Linked DNA regions of Saccharomyces cerevisiae S288C. The protein of the gene in region 2 interacts with the protein of the main gene of each other region in a biochemical or structural test. Each region holds a gene or a part of one and is shown on either strand. Other genes may lie near its edges.

Region 1 (3,383 bases), on a different chromosome or scaffold from region 2:
CTTGCATTTTTTCCGCTGACTTGGGAGTAGAGTACAGCTGCGCGGAGTCGCGTATTACAAATCTTGTACTTTGCATTCTGTGCATACGTGAGGAAAAAGCAGCACCTGTTGTGAAAAAAGATAAATTTCTTTTTTTCATTTTTCTATCCTCAAAGGAAAATCTTTTCTGCGAAATTTCTAGCCGCTCTTCAGTTTCCGAAGTAAAGTCGCTGAGGGCGAAAAACAACTTTATTTGCCCACACGCTGTTATAGGCTTCCAGGGAGCAAAAGCGCAATTGGGAATAAGGTTTCCTCAATTGAATGGTTTGCTTCGCCTACAGCATTAACCAGAAGGTAATTTGATCTCTTGTATGTCCGCTAACAGATCTTGTCCATTAATTGTTTATTTTCTTCAGGTAGGCTGAGCCCACTTTGTAGTAGCTCCCTACCATTACTTTTGGCCTTGTAGTTATTGGCTTTGATTTTTTCTTTCTATGACAATCCCGTTGAGCAACCTTGCGAAGGGCTCTTTTTGAAAAAAAGGCGTGGGCAAGATCTCTGTATCCCTTTCTCGGTTTTTTCTTCCCATTCAACAGTAATTGAGTGTCGCTATTTTGACTTACCTCAGTGCCTATTATTAGCATAAGAAATGACCCACATAGTCTGAACTCTAAATAAACCCGAATTAGGAATCAAGTACATTTCATATCCGCTAGGTTTGACAATCCTCCGTAGATAACCTTAATGATACAATGGAAAGGTTATTTTTTATTATTGTCATAGAAGTTGTTACGTGAGCAATATAACACGACGTGAATAGTACGCATACATCTTGTTGTATCGGAAACTTAAAATGCTCATAGATTTTTTGCAGCTTATATTGGTTCTTGTCTCCGTAGGAAACAACGTAATGTAGCCGATAATTTTTTTTTTTTTCGCTCGTAGGCTCTTCAGTAGATACTACTACATAATCACTGTTGTACGCACCTACTATTCTTCCAGGTAACAGTACTACAAAGGGTCTGAGACTGTGCAGTAAACCGATACGCTACAAAATTTCCTTTTCAGCTTTTGCCTGTGATGCATAGCCGCAATGTCAGAGCAAATGGAAATGAAAAGGAGGGCCTTCAAGATTGAAAAAAAGCCCGATTGGAAAATCTTCCGACACGAGGTGCAGTCAAGTACTCATAAACGATACATGTGAAAATCAATCCATATACATCGCGTACGCTCCGTACCTAAAAGTATATCTGGGTTTTGCAGCAATCTTGAGAACAATCAGGTGAGAGATGCCGTTTCTCGGGGTTAAAGAATAAAATGACGGCGATCCCTCTTCTCAGGATCGGGACTATCTCATATAGGAAATATCCTTACGGGAGCATTCCACCTTGAGCTACGAGTGATTGCCATTTACGGTGGGAAATAAGGTTTTCAGTGGATACTGGTTTTGAGGGCAGATCAAGACGATCTGTTTTTTAACTTCCGCTTTAATTCTGCGTATTATTCTGTACAAGAAACTCAAACAACAACAAAAAACAAGATAAAGAATGATGCATCAGGTTCCCGACTTATGTCCCTAAAGTTTCATAAGTAAGAAACCCGCGCGAGAACGTCATTTGAACTACCTTACAGATCTGCAGGTGGCCCGGAAAGGGCAGTCGTGTGCCTTCATCATTATTGTTGTATTCTCTGTGCCTTCTTTTTTTCCTTACTTACTATTTTGCTATATATGTGACTACTACATGTTGATGTTTCAAAATACCTCTTTTATATGCCTGTCAGGGTTTGACAAGTTGAACGAAAGATACAATTGTTAGCTTTTTATTGTTCTATGGCTTCACAATAATTCCTCAAACATTAGTATACTTTTAGTTTTGAGCTTCTTAGTTATAACACAAGTTCATCACCTACCTTCGAAAAATAGCAGTAAACGCCACTAAAGTAAATTACATGAATTTTTCCCTTTCAAAGCAAAGTTCAGAAAAACAATCATCATATACAGACAAGTCAAGATCTCCTAATATAGGAATGTGTACAGTCAATTATAAATCGAACCTCCCCCTTCAAGTGTCCGCAGTTGATCAGCTGAGCACTGGTAAGGGGACTCAATTTTATGGCCACAATAGCTACAAAAATGAACGGGAATGTTATAATAGTACGAAAATAAACTTACCACCAATTTCATCCCTTTTGCCTAATTTTGAAAATAATACACCACCTAACGTAGATTCAAGGGTTCAATTCCCTCCACAGCAAGTTTATCAAAGCATGAATGTTGTACCCATTGTTAATGAGATCTACACCCCAATTTCCATGAACGCAACATCTGATCAATATCCTATCTACTATACGGAAAGTCAGCAACCAATACCACATAGCCAGTCTCCTCATTTGACCTCCTCTGCTCCCTTGATGATGCCAGTCATGGTCCCAACAGTATATAAACCATTGACACCATACGACAAAGAACCAATAACAATTGCCTCCGAACCTAACTTCACTGCAATATCAATGGCGAGTCACCCAAACGCTGCCTTAGAGCTATGCCACGATAGGCCAAAATCAGTCCCACCTGGGTATGGCGTACTTCCAACCATGCAGGAAGCCAGTAACGGCAGAACAAAAAGCGAACCTGGTGCCGTGTTGAACGGTTCAGCAACATTTTCTGATTGGAAAACTGACACCCGAATATCATCCACAAAGCTGAGAAAGCAGTGCCCAGTATGTGGAAAAATTTGTTCGAGGCCCTCAACGCTGAAGACACATTACTTAATTCATACGGGAGATACTCCTTTCAAATGTACTTGGGAGGGTTGCACAAAATCCTTCAATGTGAAAAGCAATATGCTGAGACATTTGAAAAGCCATGAAAGGAAAAGAAACAAAGTCTTAAACACTACATAGAAACAATAGGAACGGAAAGCTTTATTGCAATGGAATTTTTAGAACTCATATTCAAAGGTAAGGCAAAACTATGTATAGACTCTAATAGAATGTTTTACGGACTTTAGAAGCAAGGGAATAAAACTAATTAAGCGCAAGTCACCTTCTTTGTTAGTGTTCTTCCCAGTTTTATATAACGGGAGTGCGTCTTCAAGTTTACTTGGACGCACAAAGACGTTTTTATGTTTATGTATTATTTCGTAAATATATGAGAGGCAAAGAAGATGGATGATGATATAATATGCAAGGGAAAATGCGTAGTTGAGGTATTGGGAAAGTTCCATGTGATCACTTGATGCAAGCCGTGCATTATTTATCAGCAGATCTATTTTCACTTTTCAATTTTTTTCAGGTTGACCCTTCAATATTTTTTTACCTCTTTTTCTAGATATATTTGCAGGGTACTCTCGATGTCCGCAGTTCGTCAAAATGATTATGATTGCCAGTAAGGCCAAGTGAAT
Region 2 (4,915 bases):
AATTTTAACCTTCATGATCAGTACTGTAATAGTACCAATCACGACTCTCACAATCACAATAATACTGTACCAGATAGCTTTTCTCAGCTGATGTCTCACTTATCGGAGATTGATTGCGATTTGACCTGTGACACCCCATGCACGGCTAGCACGAGCGCGACTAGTGGTCACAAGTTTGTTCAAGATCATCAATCATCAAATAATGATGACGTTTTCCATAAATACTGCAAATTTTGTGAGGAGAGCACTGATAATCAACCTTGTTCTAAGCATATGCATTTAGAGTCAAAGCCACCTCAACTACCACCCAAATGTTCATCTTTACGAAAACCTACAAACACTTTGCAAGGTACAAATCATGCTTATCACGAACATATCTTAAATACTGATATGGATTTGAAGATTTTGGAAGATTTATGCAATATTTCTTCTTTGTATGAAGTACCGTTTGGAAAACACATTAACCACCACGACCACAATAATGCCGGTAACGGCTGCGATGGTTCGAGCACAGGAAATAATGAAAACGGTAACCAAACAATGAATCTTCTATTATCAAGCATTAATAGATGCAACCCTAAAAATAATCTTAATGGAAGCAATAACAATACGGCTGGAGCAACTTCAACTGATCATCAACACCATCACCATAGAATACAGTTTCATTCTCACAAACCAAATAGAAACAATATTGTGAACAATTCAGGGATTAGCGCGGCGAACACAACAGCCGATCTAACTAACAACGATTTAAATGACTTAATTTCAAGAGAGTATAGTTATGAAAGATTTAGAAATCAAAGTGAGCCCCCTTCGCTACCCAAAGTCACTCATCAGAATCAGAAAAATCGTAGATCTTGGCCTACAAAAGATCTAGAATCTACTGATTTCAGCTCTTTGGAAGACTCATTACCTTCTAGCATCTCTCCTCCTATACAGACAACAAGCACTATAAATTTCAACTGGTGTTTTAAAGAAGAGAAAAACAATGACTTAAAATGCAAATGGAAAGAATGTCCTGAGTCTTGTAGCTCACTATTTGACCTACAAAGACATCTTTTGAAGGATCATGTCTCTCAAGATTTCAAACACCCTATGGAACCATTAGCTTGTAATTGGGAGGACTGTGATTTCCTTGGAGATGATACATGTTCCATAGTGAACCATATTAATTGTCAACATGGTATCAATTTTGATATTCAATTTGCCAACCCAGACTCATTTTTGCCTGGTAGTATATCAAAGGAAAAACATCACTTACTACATTGCCCCAACCCACAAACACACGAAGTTTCTAAAGCAGATGGAGCACCTGATATGACGTCTGCAAATGATGTTTCCAATATACCGCCAATCAAGCAGCCGGAACAGGTGATTTGCCAATGGGATGGTTGCAATAAGTCATTTTCCAGTGCTCAGGAATTAAACGACCATTTAGAAGCAGTACATTTAACCCGGGGTAAGTCTGAATACCAATGCTTGTGGCATGACTGCCATCGTACGTTCCCCCAAAGACAAAAATTAATCCGTCATTTAAAAGTGCATTCGAAATACAAACCTTATAAGTGCAAGACATGTAAAAGGTGTTTTTCAAGCGAAGAAACTTTAGTTCAGCATACCAGGACACACTCTGGCGAAAAACCTTACAAATGTCACATTTGTAATAAAAAATTCGCGATTTCAAGTTCTTTGAAGATTCATATAAGAACCCATACTGGTGAAAAACCTTTACAATGCAAGATTTGTGGTAAGAGATTCAACGAATCGTCAAATTTGAGCAAACATATTAAGACCCATCAGAAAAAATACAAGTGCTCTGACTGTTCCAAAAGCTTTGACGATTTGGGAAAATTGAACTCACAGAAAGTGAAATGCGCATTGGAAAGAAAACCATATTTATAAATGTGATCATCATGGTCCAACGTAAGAAGGGCGGTTTTCAGGATCACATAAATGCATAATTAGAAACATTTCATATTTTACCTAGACTACTTTTTATTTATAATTTTTCGCAAACTCTTTTTTGTAAGCTTTTACAGTACACTTTTTTTACGTAATAACGTATTTCAAGCTTTATTTTTTGTATACGTTTCAGAAAAGGGGGTGGGGGGGAAGGACATTGTATATATAGATCCTATGAGTGACAACTAGGTAACCGAAGAAACACTATTAGATATATAGTTTGAGGGATAGCATAAGTAGAACTTAGAAATGAGTTTAGTACCATATGAAGAAGGTTCGCTGATTTTAGATGATCCTAATTCTAAATCAGTGGTGGTTGTTAATCCAACCTCAGGAACTTTATCATTTTTCCAACAGGACAACAGTAATAATGACTCTGAACTAAATGAAGACCAGACTGCATCTTTATCAGCACTGGACTTTCCTTCAGGGATTCATCAATACAAAAGCCCTATTGCTTCCTATGTGTGCCCGCAATGTGGTACGGAAATTAACCCTGATATTATAAACAGAAGACAACTTCATCGTCGAGCCTCTGCTGGAGTAGAATCAGAAAGCAGTAGGCTCAGTATTCCAGAGAACACTGTGCCACTTGGATTTGAATTTGCCAATTCAAGCTTTTCAAGAAGATATTTTCAGTCATTGGAAAGAAATCATCGGCACTACGCCCTACAAAACGATAGTAACAATAAGCAGGGACAGTTCAGCAAAAACAAATACTTTATTCCAGATGATTTGTTTATCCCCGGATACTTTCGTAAATTTTTCAAAATATTGTCTTTGCTGGGAAATGGTGCAAGAGGTTCTGTTTACAAAGTTGTACACACAATTGGTAATACTGAATTAGGTGTTTTTGCACTAAAAAAAATACCTATTGGAAATGATATGGAATGGTTTAATAAGTGCATACGGGAAGTGAAAGCGTTGAGTTCGCTAACTCACAAAAGTGCCAATTTGATTACGTATAATCATGTGTGGCTCGAAATGGATTCTTCGGTTGGATTTGTCAGATCCATTGATGGGAGCCAATCGGATTCACAAGAAGAAGTTCCTTGTATTTTCATTTTACAACAGTATTGCAGTGGCGGCAATTTAGAAGACTGTATTCTAAGAAAAGTGTTCAATAGGTTCTCAGATACCGAATCACCTGAAGAGAGGAAAAAAAAATTTAGAACTCGCAAGAAAAATCACGGTAAATCAGGAGAAGTTGGCCTATCTACGGAACAGCTCGTATCCATTATAAGGGATATTGCAAGAGGTTTACACGAACTGCACAGTATTGGCCTAATACATAGGGACTTGAAACCATCCAACTGTTTATTATTGACTCCATTTAAAAGTGACAATGAGAATGACAACGTATACGACAGGGAACACAATTCAGATGAGTTTTTCCCATCAATTGTTATTGGCGATTTGGGGGAAAGTCAGTTGGAAGGAGAGTCCAGATTGGGTACTGGTTGCACAGGAACATTAGAGTTTACAGCACCAGACCTTATTATCCAGGGGAGACCAGTTTCTTCTTCTACGTTGCCTTCAAGATCGAGTCACACATACAATGAATACACCTTTGCTTCCGATATGTATTCTCTAGGAATGATTTGCTATTTTATTGTCTTCGGTGAATTGCCCTTTGAACCACAGTTGGATATAGTTGATTTGAAGGTACGCATCAAAAATTTTAGGTTCGACACTGAAGGTATGATTGAAAAGCATCAAGCGATGAAATTGAAACCAATAGACCGTAGAATATTTCACCTAATGGACGCTCTTTTACAACCAAATAATGATGCTAGACCCACAGCGAAGACAGTGGAGGAGACGTTAGATGAAATGCTAATAAATTCCAAACCCGGCAAAAAATTCTGGAAAGAAAATGTGGATAGCACTTTGAACTTCAGTACAATCTCGGAAGTGAATGAGAATACCAACAGTTTTACTGATGATTATATTGACGGAGACAACGTTACTTTATCATTACCAGCACCAGAGGAAAATTTGAGCACCGTATCAACCCAAAACCTCCAAAAGTATTCTGCTTTAAATAGAACAATCCAGGTTTGTTACAAACTAGTTTCTATGATATTAACGATAATCATATTTAAGTGTACCAAAACGGGGTCGTGGCTCTCTTATATGTCACTGATATTGTTGGGAATGGTTTTTAAATCACCAGCTGATGAAAGAGGTAAGCATGCAAGAGCGTTGGTTTTACTGGCCTTCATCGCCGCATGCAAAAAATACATATACTAACAATAAGTACACATTGCAAACTAAATAGCACGTAATTTATTTTTACTTTACAAATTTATAGAAAATATTCTCGCTTATCACCAATGTTCACGAATCATCTTCACCTCTTCTAAGGGCCGGTGACAAAGGTGCATAATGTTAGAAAAATTGACCGATGAGTAAATTTATAGAGGGAATAACCAAATGAAAAGATCTAGGTGACAGAAACGCCAATTGACCTCTGTAGAAATAAAGTTCTTTCATTATGACAGCAGAAGATATACTCCTTCGAGAAAGAACATCTACTACGACACAACGCCCTGTCAATAGCGAACAATACCTTAATGTGCAATTAGCCACAGCCCCAGTAAAAAATTTTCAGACTACAAGCGAGATTAGCCGGCAAACTCTTGTAGACACATCAAATGATGACGTTTATTCCATCAAGAATTTGAAGGGCTCGAGGAACCCCATTAGCCCTAGTGTTTCTAACGTTGGCTTCCAATCCATATTCCATACAGTAGATCATCCTCGATCGAAGGTCAGTGTGGCCTCAAATCATTCCTTGAGGAGCAATGACAATGCCTCAGCTGCAACATCTAAATCTGGTTCTTCTCAGATAGGGGAATCTCATAGCGTTGACACGGTGGAGTGCTCGAACAATCTATCTAAAAAGTTATCTTCTGATGCAATATCCATTACTCAGAAAAGTTTACACTCC
Region 3 (4,455 bases), on a different chromosome or scaffold from region 2:
ATGCCCACAGGGTAACCCATATTTATATCAAATGGAAGAAGCGTCCATTAAGAAAAAAGCAAAAAAAGCTGTACCTGCTATTATGGAGAGGAGTAAGCGCTTTTCTCATTAACGTAAAAAGAGAGGTAAGAAAAAAAAGGAAGGGGACCTAGGCACCTCATAGTGAGAAGATTGAAAACGGCGTATCAAACAAATGGTTAAAATGAGAAGAATAACACCTACACGCCTCCTATTCACATGCAGATATATTTCAAACAATGCTTCTCCACCAGTGCAGCCCTTGAATGTGCTTTTCTTTGGTAGCGACACTTTCAGTAATTTCTCATTGCAAGCACTCAATGAGTTGCGTCAAAATAATGGAAGCTGTGGTATAGTGGACAATATTCAAGTAGTAACTAGGTCGCCGAAGTGGTGCGGTAGACAGAAGTCTATTTTGAAATACCCGCCGATCTTCGATATGGCAGAGAAGCTTCAATTGCCACGCCCAATTACATGCGACACCAAGCAGGAAATGTTGGCGCTAAGCAAACTGACACCCAGTCGCCAAGGAAATCCGGAGAACGACGGCTCCGGTGCTCCGTTCAACGCGATCATTGCGGTTTCTTTTGGGAAGCTCATTCCGGGTGACTTGATCCGCGCGGTGCCATTGGCGCTAAACGTCCATCCTTCGCTACTTCCCAGACATAAAGGCAGTGCACCTATCCAGCGAGCTCTGCTCGAGGGTGACACTTACACCGGTGTAACTATACAGACACTGCATCCGGATCGGTTTGACCATGGTGCAATTGTAGCGCAGACGGAGCCACTGGCGATCGCAACAATGCTGTCAAAAGGGAGAGTCAATGATTCGACGGCAGATTTTAATTCTGAGGGCCTGCCTCGGAGGACTGCCATACTGATGGACCAGTTGGGCGCCCTTGGCGCCCAACTTTTGGGCCAAACGCTTCGTGAGAGGTTATATCTACCACAGAACCGTGTGCAAGCGCCAACAGCTTACAAACCCAGTTACGCCCACCGTATAACAACAGAAGATAAACGCATTCATTGGGCGCGCGATTCTGCCGCCGAACTACTTAACAAACTCGAAACGCTCGGTCCTCTGCACGCGTTCAAAGAAGCGACAGCGGCAAGAAAGGACGCTCAAAATTCAGTATTAAAACGAATATTGTTTCATGAGTGTAAAGTGATGAGAGACGCACGTCTAGATAATGGCAGTAAACCGGGCATGTTCAAATATGATGATATTAAAGACTGTATTTTGGTCACCTGTCGCGGCAACTTACTACTATGTGTGAGCCGCCTCCAGTTCGAAGGTTTCGCCGTAGAACGTGCTGGCCAGTTCATGGCGCGCCTGCGGAAAAGATGCGGCGCCCTGAGTGAAAAGTTAGTTTTCCTGTAACCCGGCTCTACATTCCTCTTTTAGTATTCTTCTTCTCCCTTCTTTCAATCCCTCATCCATCGGTCTCTCAACAACTATGGCTGCCAAGCCCTACGCGCTATGAAGAAAAAGAAAAGTAGGCCCGCCTTCTTTCCCAGTTGCAGTTTATTTATGATTCGGAAAGATTGATGTTAGTAATGGCTTGTAGTTCATAACAGAGTGAATTAAGTGTAGGAAGCCCGGAATTAAATATATAGTAAAAAGAGCACAGGGGCGTTTACATCGGGGTAAAAAAAAATGCCTGCACCAAAACTCACGGAGAAATTTGCCTCTTCCAAGAGCACACAGAAAACTACGAATTACAGTTCCATCGAGGCCAAAAGCGTCAAGACGTCGGCTGATCAGGCATACATCTACCAAGAGCCTAGCGCTACCAAGAAGATACTTTACTCCATCGCCACATGGCTGTTGTACAACATCTTCCACTGCTTCTTTAGAGAAATCAGAGGCCGGGGCAGTTTCAAGGTACCGCAACAGGGACCGGTGATCTTTGTTGCGGCTCCGCATGCTAACCAGTTCGTCGACCCTGTAATCCTTATGGGCGAGGTGAAGAAATCTGTCAACAGACGTGTGTCCTTCTTGATTGCGGAGAGCTCATTAAAGCAACCCCCCATAGGGTTTTTGGCTAGTTTCTTCATGGCCATAGGCGTGGTAAGGCCGCAGGATAATTTGAAACCGGCAGAAGGTACTATCCGCGTAGATCCAACAGACTACAAGAGAGTTATCGGCCACGACACGCATTTCTTGACTGATTGTATGCCAAAGGGTCTCATCGGGTTACCCAAATCAATGGGATTTGGAGAAATCCAGTCCATAGAAAGTGACACGAGTTTGACCCTAAGAAAAGAGTTCAAAATGGCCAAACCAGAGATTAAAACTGCTTTACTCACCGGCACTACTTATAAATATGCCGCTAAAGTCGACCAATCTTGCGTTTACCATAGAGTTTTTGAGCATTTGGCCCATAACAACTGCATTGGGATCTTTCCTGAAGGTGGGTCCCACGACAGAACAAACTTGTTGCCCCTGAAAGCAGGTGTGGCGATTATGGCTCTTGGTTGCATGGATAAGCATCCTGACGTCAATGTTAAGATTGTTCCCTGCGGTATGAATTATTTCCATCCACATAAGTTCAGGTCGAGAGCGGTTGTTGAATTCGGTGACCCCATTGAAATACCGAAGGAACTAGTCGCCAAGTACCACAACCCGGAAACGAACAGAGATGCAGTGAAAGAATTATTAGATACCATATCGAAGGGTTTACAATCCGTTACCGTTACATGTTCTGATTATGAAACTTTGATGGTGGTTCAAACGATAAGAAGACTATATATGACACAATTTAGCACCAAGTTACCGTTGCCCTTGATTGTGGAAATGAACAGAAGAATGGTCAAAGGTTACGAATTCTATAGAAACGATCCTAAAATAGCGGACTTGACCAAAGATATAATGGCATATAATGCCGCCTTGAGACACTATAATCTTCCTGATCACCTTGTGGAGGAGGCAAAGGTAAATTTCGCAAAAAACCTCGGACTTGTTTTTTTTAGATCCATCGGGCTCTGCATCCTCTTTTCGTTAGCCATGCCAGGTATCATTATGTTCTCACCTGTCTTCATATTAGCCAAGAGAATTTCTCAAGAAAAGGCCCGTACCGCTTTGTCCAAGTCTACAGTTAAAATAAAGGCTAACGATGTCATTGCCACGTGGAAAATCTTGATTGGGATGGGATTTGCGCCCTTGCTTTACATCTTTTGGTCCGTTTTAATCACTTATTACCTCAGACATAAACCATGGAATAAAATATATGTTTTTTCCGGGTCTTACATCTCGTGTGTTATAGTCACGTATTCCGCCTTAATCGTGGGTGATATTGGTATGGATGGTTTCAAATCTTTGAGACCACTGGTTTTATCTCTTACATCTCCAAAGGGCTTGCAAAAGCTACAAAAGGATCGTAGAAATCTGGCAGAAAGAATAATCGAAGTTGTAAATAACTTTGGAAGCGAATTATTCCCCGATTTCGATAGTGCCGCCCTACGTGAAGAATTCGACGTCATCGATGAAGAGGAAGAAGATCGAAAAACCTCAGAATTGAATCGCAGGAAAATGCTAAGAAAACAGAAAATAAAAAGACAAGAAAAAGATTCGTCATCACCTATCATCAGCCAACGTGACAACCACGATGCCTATGAACACCATAACCAAGATTCCGATGGCGTCTCATTGGTCAATAGTGACAATTCCCTCTCTAACATTCCATTATTCTCTTCTACTTTTCATCGTAAGTCAGAGTCTTCCTTAGCTTCGACATCCGTTGCACCTTCTTCTTCCTCCGAATTTGAGGTAGAAAACGAAATCTTGGAGGAAAAAAATGGATTAGCAAGTAAAATCGCACAGGCCGTCTTAAACAAGAGAATTGGTGAAAATACTGCCAGGGAAGAGGAAGAGGAAGAAGAAGAGGAAGAAGAAGAAGAGGAAGAAGAAGAAGAAGGGAAAGAAGGAGATGCGTAGATGCCATTTACTGACGGTGAAGATACTAGAAACTAAATCTTTCGCCGTTCTATTTATGTAATAAACCCATTATTGCTCATTGGGAGTTGTAAATATTAATGCTCAATGTTTATGTATATCCCTCGCACAGGGGCTTTTTATTTCTTGAGGGGGGGACTAATTGTATAATTGTATGTTTTATAAAAAAGTATATTGCTCTTTTACGACTTTTGGTCTGGTCCCCTATGCTACTAATAACATTTTATTCTCTTCAAACTTCAACGTTCAACCTGCTTTGCCGAGACGGCGATTAGTATCCTACCCAACTGAACCTTTTCTTTTTGTTTCGCTTTTTGTTATACAATGCAATTTCGTCTCGCTGTAGTCTTTGGGTATGTCCTGTCAAATTCGTCACTACATTTTCAAAAGTTGTCTTATCCTTTAGGAGGTCTCGCTGTTGTTTCTTCAATGATCTTGATTTACTAACCAAAAAGTCAATGGATTGACACAATGTATCGTGG

The links. Proteins that work in one complex are often made in the same cells at the same time.
Region 1: of the proteins of IKS1 (region 2) and CMR3, one has a biochemical effect on the other in vitro, tested with the Saccharomyces cerevisiae proteins (one large-scale study listed by BioGRID).
Region 3: of the proteins of IKS1 (region 2) and SCT1, one has a biochemical effect on the other in vitro, tested with the Saccharomyces cerevisiae proteins (one large-scale study listed by BioGRID).

What each region holds. Positions count from the first base shown.
Region 1 is NC_001148.4:584,132-587,514, reverse strand, and holds CMR3 (Cmr3p), read left to right. Parts: upstream 1-1,929; coding exon 1,930-2,883; downstream 2,884-3,383. Other genes in the region: YPR014C (uncharacterized protein), read left to right, coding at 1-326. UniProt on the Saccharomyces cerevisiae protein: Probable transcription factor involved in the regulation of the transcription of genes involved in cell rescue and defense, as well as cell cycle and DNA processing.
Region 2 is NC_001142.9:327,418-332,332, reverse strand, and holds IKS1 (protein kinase IKS1), read left to right. Parts: upstream 1-2,211; coding exon 2,212-4,215; downstream 4,216-4,915. Other genes in the region: ZAP1 (Zap1p), read left to right, coding at 1-1,902; BIT61 (Bit61p), read left to right, coding at 4,460-4,915.
Region 3 is NC_001134.8:201,863-206,317, forward strand, and holds SCT1 (bifunctional glycerol-3-phosphate/glycerone-phosphate O-acyltransferase SCT1), read left to right. Parts: upstream 1-1,675; coding exon 1,676-3,955; downstream 3,956-4,455. Other genes in the region: FMT1 (methionyl-tRNA formyltransferase), read left to right, coding at 194-1,399; LAA2 (Laa2p), read right to left, coding at 4,245-4,455. UniProt on the Saccharomyces cerevisiae protein: Dual substrate-specific glycerol-3-phosphate/dihydroxyacetone phosphate sn-1 acyltransferase, catalyzing the first and committed reaction in the de novo synthesis of glycerophospholipids and triacylglycerols (TAGs).